2 linked regions of the Ovis aries genome follow. The protein of the gene in region 1 purifies or fractionates together with the protein of each later gene. This does not show direct contact. Links are inferred from orthologs where the notes say so. Each region holds a gene or a part of one and is shown on either strand. Other genes may lie near its edges.

Region 1 (4,338 bases):
AGCGTTCATGACCTTCCAGACCCTCCATCTCCTCTCCCTTCCGAGTTGTTTCTGAGAACTCCTCTATTACCCTCCCCCTCAACACTGCTCTGGTCACCCAGCCTTTCTGCTCTCCTGCTTTGGGCATCTGTGCTAGCTGTTCCCTCTATGCAGAACGTCCTTCTCCCCAGTAACTTCTCCTGCCTCCTTCAGGCCCTTTATTTCCCTGTCACCTTCCAGCGAGACCTTTCCTAACCTCACCAAGCACTCCCCATTCGCCTCCCCTGCTGGATTTTCATCCACAACTTGCTGACACACGGCATACTTAGGTAGTTGATAACTGTCTCTGCCAGCGAGATGAAAGCTCCACAAACAGAGGGCCCTCTGTTTTGTTCACTGAGATATAATACTCCCAGTGCTTAGAGCAAAGTCTGGCAATGAACGAGAATGCTCAGTTAATATTTTGTGAATGGATAAACTAGTCCATTTTTAATCCATTCCCCGTTCAACTCACTTTCCTCTGCCATTCATGCTTTCTGTACATTTGGGACACCCTCTCTGAACACAGGAGAAAGAGAGGACAAGAGTAGTTCTGGACACAGATAAACTCCTCCGCTGACATTTCCCCTTACGCCAGGACTGAGCAATCTCCACATGTGATTTTACAACAGTCCTGTGAGGTAGGGACAGGAATCCCACTTTGCAGTGGAGGAAAACTGAGGCTCAGGAACAGGCACCTTCCCAAAGCCACACAGTGAGTAGATGATGTAGTCCAGAATTTGAAGAGCAAGGGCTCTGGCTTCAAACAAATCCCAACCAGTGACCAGCCTCAGTTTTCTAATTTGCAGAATGGGTCTCACAATCCTAACCTATTGGTTGATGAAAATGCCAGGAGTAATGTGTCCAGCATAGAGCTAACACCGCACAGGGCCTGGGCACCAGAGGTGCACCTGTCATCGCTGGCTGTCATCAGAGTAACTGCTGTCCGCCCCCCCAACGTATCTGTCAGTCCTCCCCCATCTCTGCCTCACCCTGCCCCCACTCAGGCCGACACTGCTCAACAGGCAGCTGTAGTCTCACACAAACAGCCTGCGGGCGGGTGGGGCGGGAAGGAGTTGTGAGCCATGGGGCCCCATAATCACCTCCTCATTGAATAGTTTGCTGGTGTCCTTCTTGATGAGATCCAGGTACTGGACTTGGCCAGCTGAAAAGCCCACCAGCAGGGAGATGGTCTCCGTGGCAGCAGTGAACTGGTTGAAGTCATGGCAGGTGGGCTGAGTGCCCTTATAGATCCGCTTGTCAATTGGCTTGTTGAGGTCAATGGACTTGAGTGGTGGGAGAAAACGAGTTAATGGCTTCTACCACTGACAGGAAGGAAGAGGGTGTTGAGGTTGGGGGAAAAACCACTAAGAGGAAGCAGGGCTAAAGCCCTGAGGGAAGTGGGTAGGTGGATGGGTAAATGAGGAGGGAAGGGGAAACCACAGACAGGAAGGACGACCCAAAACACAAACAGAAGAGAGCGCCAGGCAGGAAGGCTCCCCTGCTGCCACCACATGAGGCCACTAAGTGCCTCCTTCCCCAGGCTGGACGCCCCTCCCCACCCAACTTCAGGGACTCTTGCCTACAGTTTCAGTGCAGGGTCCCTGCAGTTCCTGAGCTTTTATACCTTTCTTGTCCTCCTCCATAATTTCAGCAACACCCCTAGGTCTTAGCACCACAACATTCCAAAACCACCAAAACTCAGGATCACCCAATCCCCAGAATGCTAAAGCCCAATGTTCCAAGAGTCTCTTCACTCTGGAGTTCCTAAATCTCAGAATTCTCATCACACAGTTCAGGAACCCATTAAATCTCACAGTCCCCCCAAATTTTAGGTGCCTTCATCACCTCTGAGCTCTCAGGATCCCCAACACTTCCGGAGGCCACCATTTACTCCAAGGGTCTCACGTCCTCTAGGACCGACATCACTTTAGAGACACCTGTCATACCTGAGGATATCACCTCCATATTTCCCATCAGCTCCAAGATTCTCATTTCCTCCAGCACTGTCATTAATCTCCAGAACCCCAATTTTCTCTAGAGTCCCATTCACCTTCATGATCCCTATTACCTCTAAGCCCCAGTCACTTCTAGAATCCTCCTTATCTCTGGGCTCCCTAAGTCCCCCGGACAACCCCAGAATGCAATATCCCTGGGTATCACTTATGAGCCTCCAATTCCTAACACCTGCAAAATGCCTGCCAGCCAGAACCCTGGAGGACCCCACAACCATCTCGAATTCTCCATCACCTCCACAACAGTCACTATCCCAGAAGCCCCAAGCATAACCTGGGGATCTCACGTGATCTCAAGGCCTCCCACCACCTCCAGGATGGTCAGCACTCAGGGGGCCTCCACTCACCTTTTAGAACCCTGCATCACCTCCAAGAACCCTTTCCCCCTAGGACTTGCATCACATCCAGGATGCTTGTCTCCGGGCCCTCTGTCATTCAGGTACCCTCCTGTCACTTGTGAATCACCTCAGGGGTCCCCATCCTCTCAGCCTGCACCCAGGGCCCCAAGGTGCAGGCCGCTCACCCGTTGGCTCCCACGGCGACAGCAGCCCGGGTAGAAATAGAGCTCGCGGCCCAAGTTGAAGCAGACGCGGTCTCCCCCGGCGCCCAGCCCCGCGGGCGTGGCGGGCGGCTCCCCGGCCCCGGCGCCGTCGGGCTCCCCGAGACGCACGAGGCTTAGGCGCACAGCAGGCAGCGCGGGCCCGGGCCCGGGGCCTGCAGGCGGAGGGGACGGAGCGGGGCCCGCGGCGCCGGGGCCCGAGGCAGAGGCAGGGCCGGGCTGAGGCTGCGGCGGCTGGGGCGGCGCCGGGGTCTGGGCGGAAGCCGGACCCGATCTGCGGGCGGCGCCGTCGCCGGGGAGCAGCTTGTAGAAGCCCTCGCGGGTGCGGAACTGCGACTTGATTTCCGCACAATCCCCCATGGCGGCGCCGGGGCCAGAGCCGCCCTCCGCGCCGCCCGCCGCCATCTTGGGCGCCCCCCCCCAACCCCAGCCCCGGACCCCGCTGCTGCCGGACCGCCGCCCGCCGCCGGGCCCCCTGCCGGAAGCCGGGGTCCGCACCGGAAGAGGTGGGGTCGTCGCCCGGGCAACGCCTTTTCGATTGGCAACAGGGTAGGGAGGCGGGACGACCTCCAGCCGTCGCTCCGGTAACGGTTCTGGGTCTGAAGGCGGGGCTACAAGGTGGGCGCGGCCTTAGTGCCTGCGACCATCTAGTGGTTGGCTGTGGGGGCGGGGCCCTCAGGGAAAGAGGCGTGTCCATAAAAGAGCCATAGTCCCTAGCAACGGCACCCTGGGAACCGTTTGCCTAGCAACGGGAGTACCCGCAAGAGAAGGCCTCGCCCACAACTTGTCCTTCCCATGACGTCACAGAAATGACTTCAGGTGACCCTAATGTCTCCTGAAGACTCCCAACATACACCCTCCAGTGTTTTCCACTTACATCTAAAGTCCCCGACTGGCCACAGCATCTCCAACCCTTCCTCTCCACCCTTGATGATCCTGCAAATTTCATTGATCTCCAACGTCTCCATAAAACTCCAGCGACTTCATCTGACCCAATACTGATTAATACTAACAGCAAAAAGACCCTGATGCTGGGAAAGACTGAAAGTAGGAGGAGAAGAGGACGACAGAGGATGAGATGGTTGGATGGCATCACCAACTCAACGGACATGAGTTTGAGTAAGCTCCGGGAGTTGGTGATGGACAGGGAGGCCTGGCGTGCTGCAGTCCATGGGGTTGCAAAAAGTGAGACACGACTGAGTGATTGAACTGAACAGCTCCACATTTTCCACCAAACTCCTATATATTTCCACAACCTCACTCACTTCTCCAACACCCACCAAAATTTGATTGATCCCTGCAATACCCTCGGTGTCCCAATAATCCACTGGTAATCCAAAATCTCTTCCTGATCCCAACAGCTCCCTAACAGTCAGTGTCCCTCCCTTCCTGCTCCCATCACAGATCTTAAATGAAACTGACAATTTCACTTCAAATCCCACTCCTCTCCTGAGTCATTTTAGGGGCAGCACTGCCATTCCTTCCAGTCACCAGGCTGCAGATTTTGGTGTTTCCCTAGATTTCTGCCATTCCTCTTCACTCCCTGATTACAATCCCCAAGTCTTTTGCATTCTGTCACCTGAATTCCTCTATTCCACTCCATTCCTCTTTGCAGCCTCCGTTGAAACTCCTCTCCTGCTTGGACTCTCCCTGTATCAGCCTTGTCTCTGCTCTCCCAGACCCATGTCTCACCCTTCTATCTACATTACACTTGGGATCTAGAGAGGTCTTTCTAAAGCACAAATA
Region 2 (3,808 bases), on another chromosome or scaffold:
TCCCTCCTCCCCCTACTCCCTGGAGTCCCTACCCTCATTTCTAGCTTTTTTTTTTCTCCACTGCACTTACGACATTCTGATGTACTGTCCAGTATACTTGCTTTTTCTTTCAGACTGCCTTTGTCCACTGTTCTGTTGTCAGAGCCTAGAACAGTGCCTGGCATGTGGTGGGTGCACAGTAGATAAATCTTTATCAGAAAAACACCATGACTTTGAAATTGGTGGTATGATTCTATACACCACTGAGTAGCATAAAATATACTCCAGGTATCTGAGCTTAGAACATTTTATTTGGAAGTTCTGAGTGGCAGTTTGCTCATTACCTGTCCTAAACCTGCTTTCCTAATGGAAGGTCATTGAAGCTGGGTAGAACAGATTTGAGGGACGATGAAGTTGGGTGAGGACAGGAATAGGCTGACCTCATTACCTCATCTACGGTTTACTTCCGACACCTGTTTTCAGCATGATCATCTCCAGACTCTGTAGCCACTAGGGGAAATGTTGGTCTCAATAGCGGGCTCTCTCAAGTATCCTTTTGCTTTCTTGTCTGTTTTACACGCAACAGAACTTTTGCTGTTTTTCTCTTTCAGGGCACCAATGCCTCTGCTCTGGAAAAAGACATTGGTCCAGAGCAGTTTCCAATCAATGAACACTACTTCGGATTGGTCAATGTAAGTATTTTGAAATGTACTGTCTTAATCAGGTGTTTTAGCATTCTTGAAGCAATGTCACTGCCATTTTCATCATTACCAAGTTTTAAATAATTGGTCATACTCCTTGGTTACCATAGGTGGCAAATACTAGAGTAGGGGATATTTAGTCCAATTTTTGGAAGTATGAGTTGCCCCAGAAGAGGAGGTTTAATTAGTGCATTATTAGGTCAGATTCTCATTTTCCCCCCTGTGCTTTAAAGGATTTCCTTTGCACACTAACTTTCAGAGCAATATTATTGGCCTTTGTAGCAAAATCTGCTTTTGTGTGTCCTCCCTTTACCATCTGAATGTGCTCGTCAGATTGTATACATCAGCTCAACCAGAGCTCATCACCAGTGGTTGCTTCGTGGCATAATTTGGTATCTGAAGCATGGGTTGGAAGTGGGGGGAGACTGGGGCCAGTTTATCTCTAAATCCCTTGGCCTCATTTCACTTGTGCTCAGCAACGGTCCCCTTGTATATAGCCAGACTTGTTCGGCACTGTGTCCTGGATAAGTTCATGATAGCTGGGTAGTAAGGCAATATTACCCACCACCCTCATGAGCTTTCTTCTCCAGCTGATCCTTTCTCTCTGGGGTGGAGGATGTAAATAACATCAGCTGCTACCTCACTAGCACCAGGTTTTCTAGAACAACTGCTCTGAGCATGGTCTGCCAGAACTCAGGTGTCATAGGTCATAGTCTCTACTGAGTGTTCTGAGTGAATGCCGCTGTGGACTAATGGAGTGGACATTGTCTCTGAAGTAGTACAGACCTAATCCAGAGTCTGCCTGTGCTGCTCCCTAGCTGTGTGATCTTGGGCAAGTCACTTGCCCTCTCTGAGCTTCCATTTCCCCTTCTGTGAAATGGGTCACAGCGGTTTCTACACTTTGGCTTATAGTGAAGGATCCGTGAGAGCTCCTACTGAAGGTCCTGACATGAGGCTGAGGCACAGTGACGCTCGGTAAATGTTAGTTCCTTTTCTTTCCCAGGAGCCAAGTGTTACTAAAGGGTGTCTGGCTAAAGGTGAGGTACTGAGTAAGGAAAAGAATGGGAGGAGGAGGCTAAAGTACTGGCATATAGGGCACTGTGTTGATGGAATACTGACTTAGAATTTTAATGCAGCGTTTTAGGCATTGGGCAAAGGCCTCTTGCTTAAGCTCTATGAGGATAGTTATTTAAGTTGAGGGAGTTCTGCCTTGGCCAGGGAAAAGATGGATGCAGACTATGGAGGAATAAAGAACTAAAGCCATCTCCTAGCCTGTGGAAGCATTGTGAGATCTAAACCTAATAATAGTTTTGTACATGTTCACTTTGAATGGTAGTTCATGAAAGTTACAGCTTCTCTTTAAAAAGGGGTTTGTCTCATCACGTAATTGTGTCAAAGTAGATTAAAATGTATAAAAATAGGAAGTGTTCTATCAGCATACGAAGAAATGTCCCGTTAAGGATGGCCGTGCATCTGCCTCACTCTTGGGCAGATGACACACAAGCCAGCTACCAGGCTTGAGAAGGTGTTCATGTTCCATTTCAATCTTACACAGCATTTTCTAATCTGCTATTAATCTTCTAATTGTCCTAGATGGTTTCCCTCTTTATTTTAGCACATATGAGCAACTCTAAAATGAACGTCTCCGCTATGTGTTCTCCCATAGAACTGGTTATCCAGTCAGTTGAAAACCAGTGAGATGATGACTTTTTGCCTCGTTAAATCATAACCGTGGCTTTTGAGAAGTGCAGCGTGTCACTCTGTGGGTCCTGTTACGGTGGCAGGAGACCAGGACCTATGTGCTATTGTATTGAGACAGTGGCTACTTTGGCAGAAACGAGATTGCTTTGGAGAAAGTGAGGCGATTAGTCTGAAGCCTGTGGCAGGAGTGCCAAACCCTTGAAAGAGAGAAACTTAAAACAAGTCCCCACTCAGTTAAGGCTGTTTCAGCTGAGCAAGCGGTTCCTAGTAGCTGGATTTCTTTCTGATTGAGGTTTTTATTGTCCCTGTCATACGAGTTTTGATGTGTTGCAGTGTGACGTCTTTTGTGTCGCCAGCTGCTTTTCTATGTCTCCATATCATGTTGATTTTTTTTTTTCTTCACCCTCTCTTTTGAGCACCAGAAAGTCTCATTAGATTTTTAAAAACCAGGGCCGAGTGTCCCTTATCATTTTATAGAGACTTTTATAGCCTAGCGAGCTCTCCAGCTTGTGTATACTAGGATTCATTTCCCTGGCGATCAGCTAGTCACTGGTGTTCGGCCTGGCTTGCTGGTCTACCACGGCATGCAGCCCGTGACACAGGGGATCTGGGCCAGTTCACACCAGGGCGGCCCCTCCCTCTCCTCGCTGCTGCAGAGAACCCTGATTTAAATCGGCCCTCTTGTCCTTTGGCAGTTCGGAAACACATGCTACTGTAACTCCGTTCTCCAAGCCCTGTACTTCTGCCGGCCGTTCCGGGAGAATGTGCTGGCGTACAAGGCCCAGCAAAAGAAGAAAGAGAACTTGTTGACATGCCTGGCAGACCTTTTCCACAGCATCGCCACGCAGAAGAAGAAGGTCGGCGTGATCCCACCAAAGAAGTTCATTTCGAGGCTGAGAAAAGAAAATGGTGAGTAACATGGAGACGAATGTGTTTCAGATCTGAGATAAGGAGAATCAACAGGTCTGTGTAACCTCAAAATGAATCCCCCCCCTCTTTTTTTTTTAAATGGGAAAATAGTATGGCCAACTACTCAGGTTTTAAATACAAGATATTTCTTCTTTTCCACCCAGTAAAAATTGGATTCAAAAAATATACTTAAAAATTCTGATTGGAACTTCCCTAGTGGTTCAGTGGTTAAGACTCCACAGTTGCAGTGCAGGGGCTGTGGGTTCCATCTCTGGTCAGGGAATTAAGATCCCACATGCCACATGGCCAAAAAAAAAAAAGTAATTAATCCTTCCAAAATGGAATGATCTTTTTATTTGCTCCACATTCGGAGGACTTTTTTCTGGGTAGGATCATTATAAGAGGAAAAATTGCCCAAGGCAGGACACTGACTGGAATAAATAGGTTGATGTAGTAATTGAATAAAATAGTACTGTCTTATAAACTTGTCATAAGTGATTAAACTAAATGCACATTAT

Evidence for each region.
Region 2: the proteins of DMWD (region 1) and USP46 purify together in Homo sapiens (affinity purification with mass spectrometry; 5 studies listed by BioGRID and IntAct, counting the BioPlex papers as one, with this or other methods). This does not show direct contact. The link is inferred for Ovis aries from reciprocal best matches to the Homo sapiens genes DMWD and USP46.

Annotation. Positions count from the first base shown.
Region 1 is NC_056067.1:53,112,969-53,117,306, forward strand, and holds the start of DMWD (dystrophia myotonica WD repeat-containing protein), read right to left. Parts: upstream 3,080-4,338; 5' UTR 2,998-3,079; coding exon 2,557-2,997; intron 1,305-2,556; coding exon 1,122-1,304; intron 1-1,121. UniProt on the Homo sapiens protein: Regulator of the deubiquitinating USP12/DMWD/WDR48 complex. Functions as a cofactor that promotes USP12 enzymatic activity.
Region 2 is NC_056059.1:69,023,578-69,027,385, reverse strand, and holds part of USP46 (ubiquitin carboxyl-terminal hydrolase 46), read left to right. Parts: intron 1-590; coding exon 591-671; intron 672-3,076; coding exon 3,077-3,290; intron 3,291-3,808. UniProt on the Homo sapiens protein: Deubiquitinating enzyme that plays a role in behavior, possibly by regulating GABA action. May act by mediating the deubiquitination of GAD1/GAD67.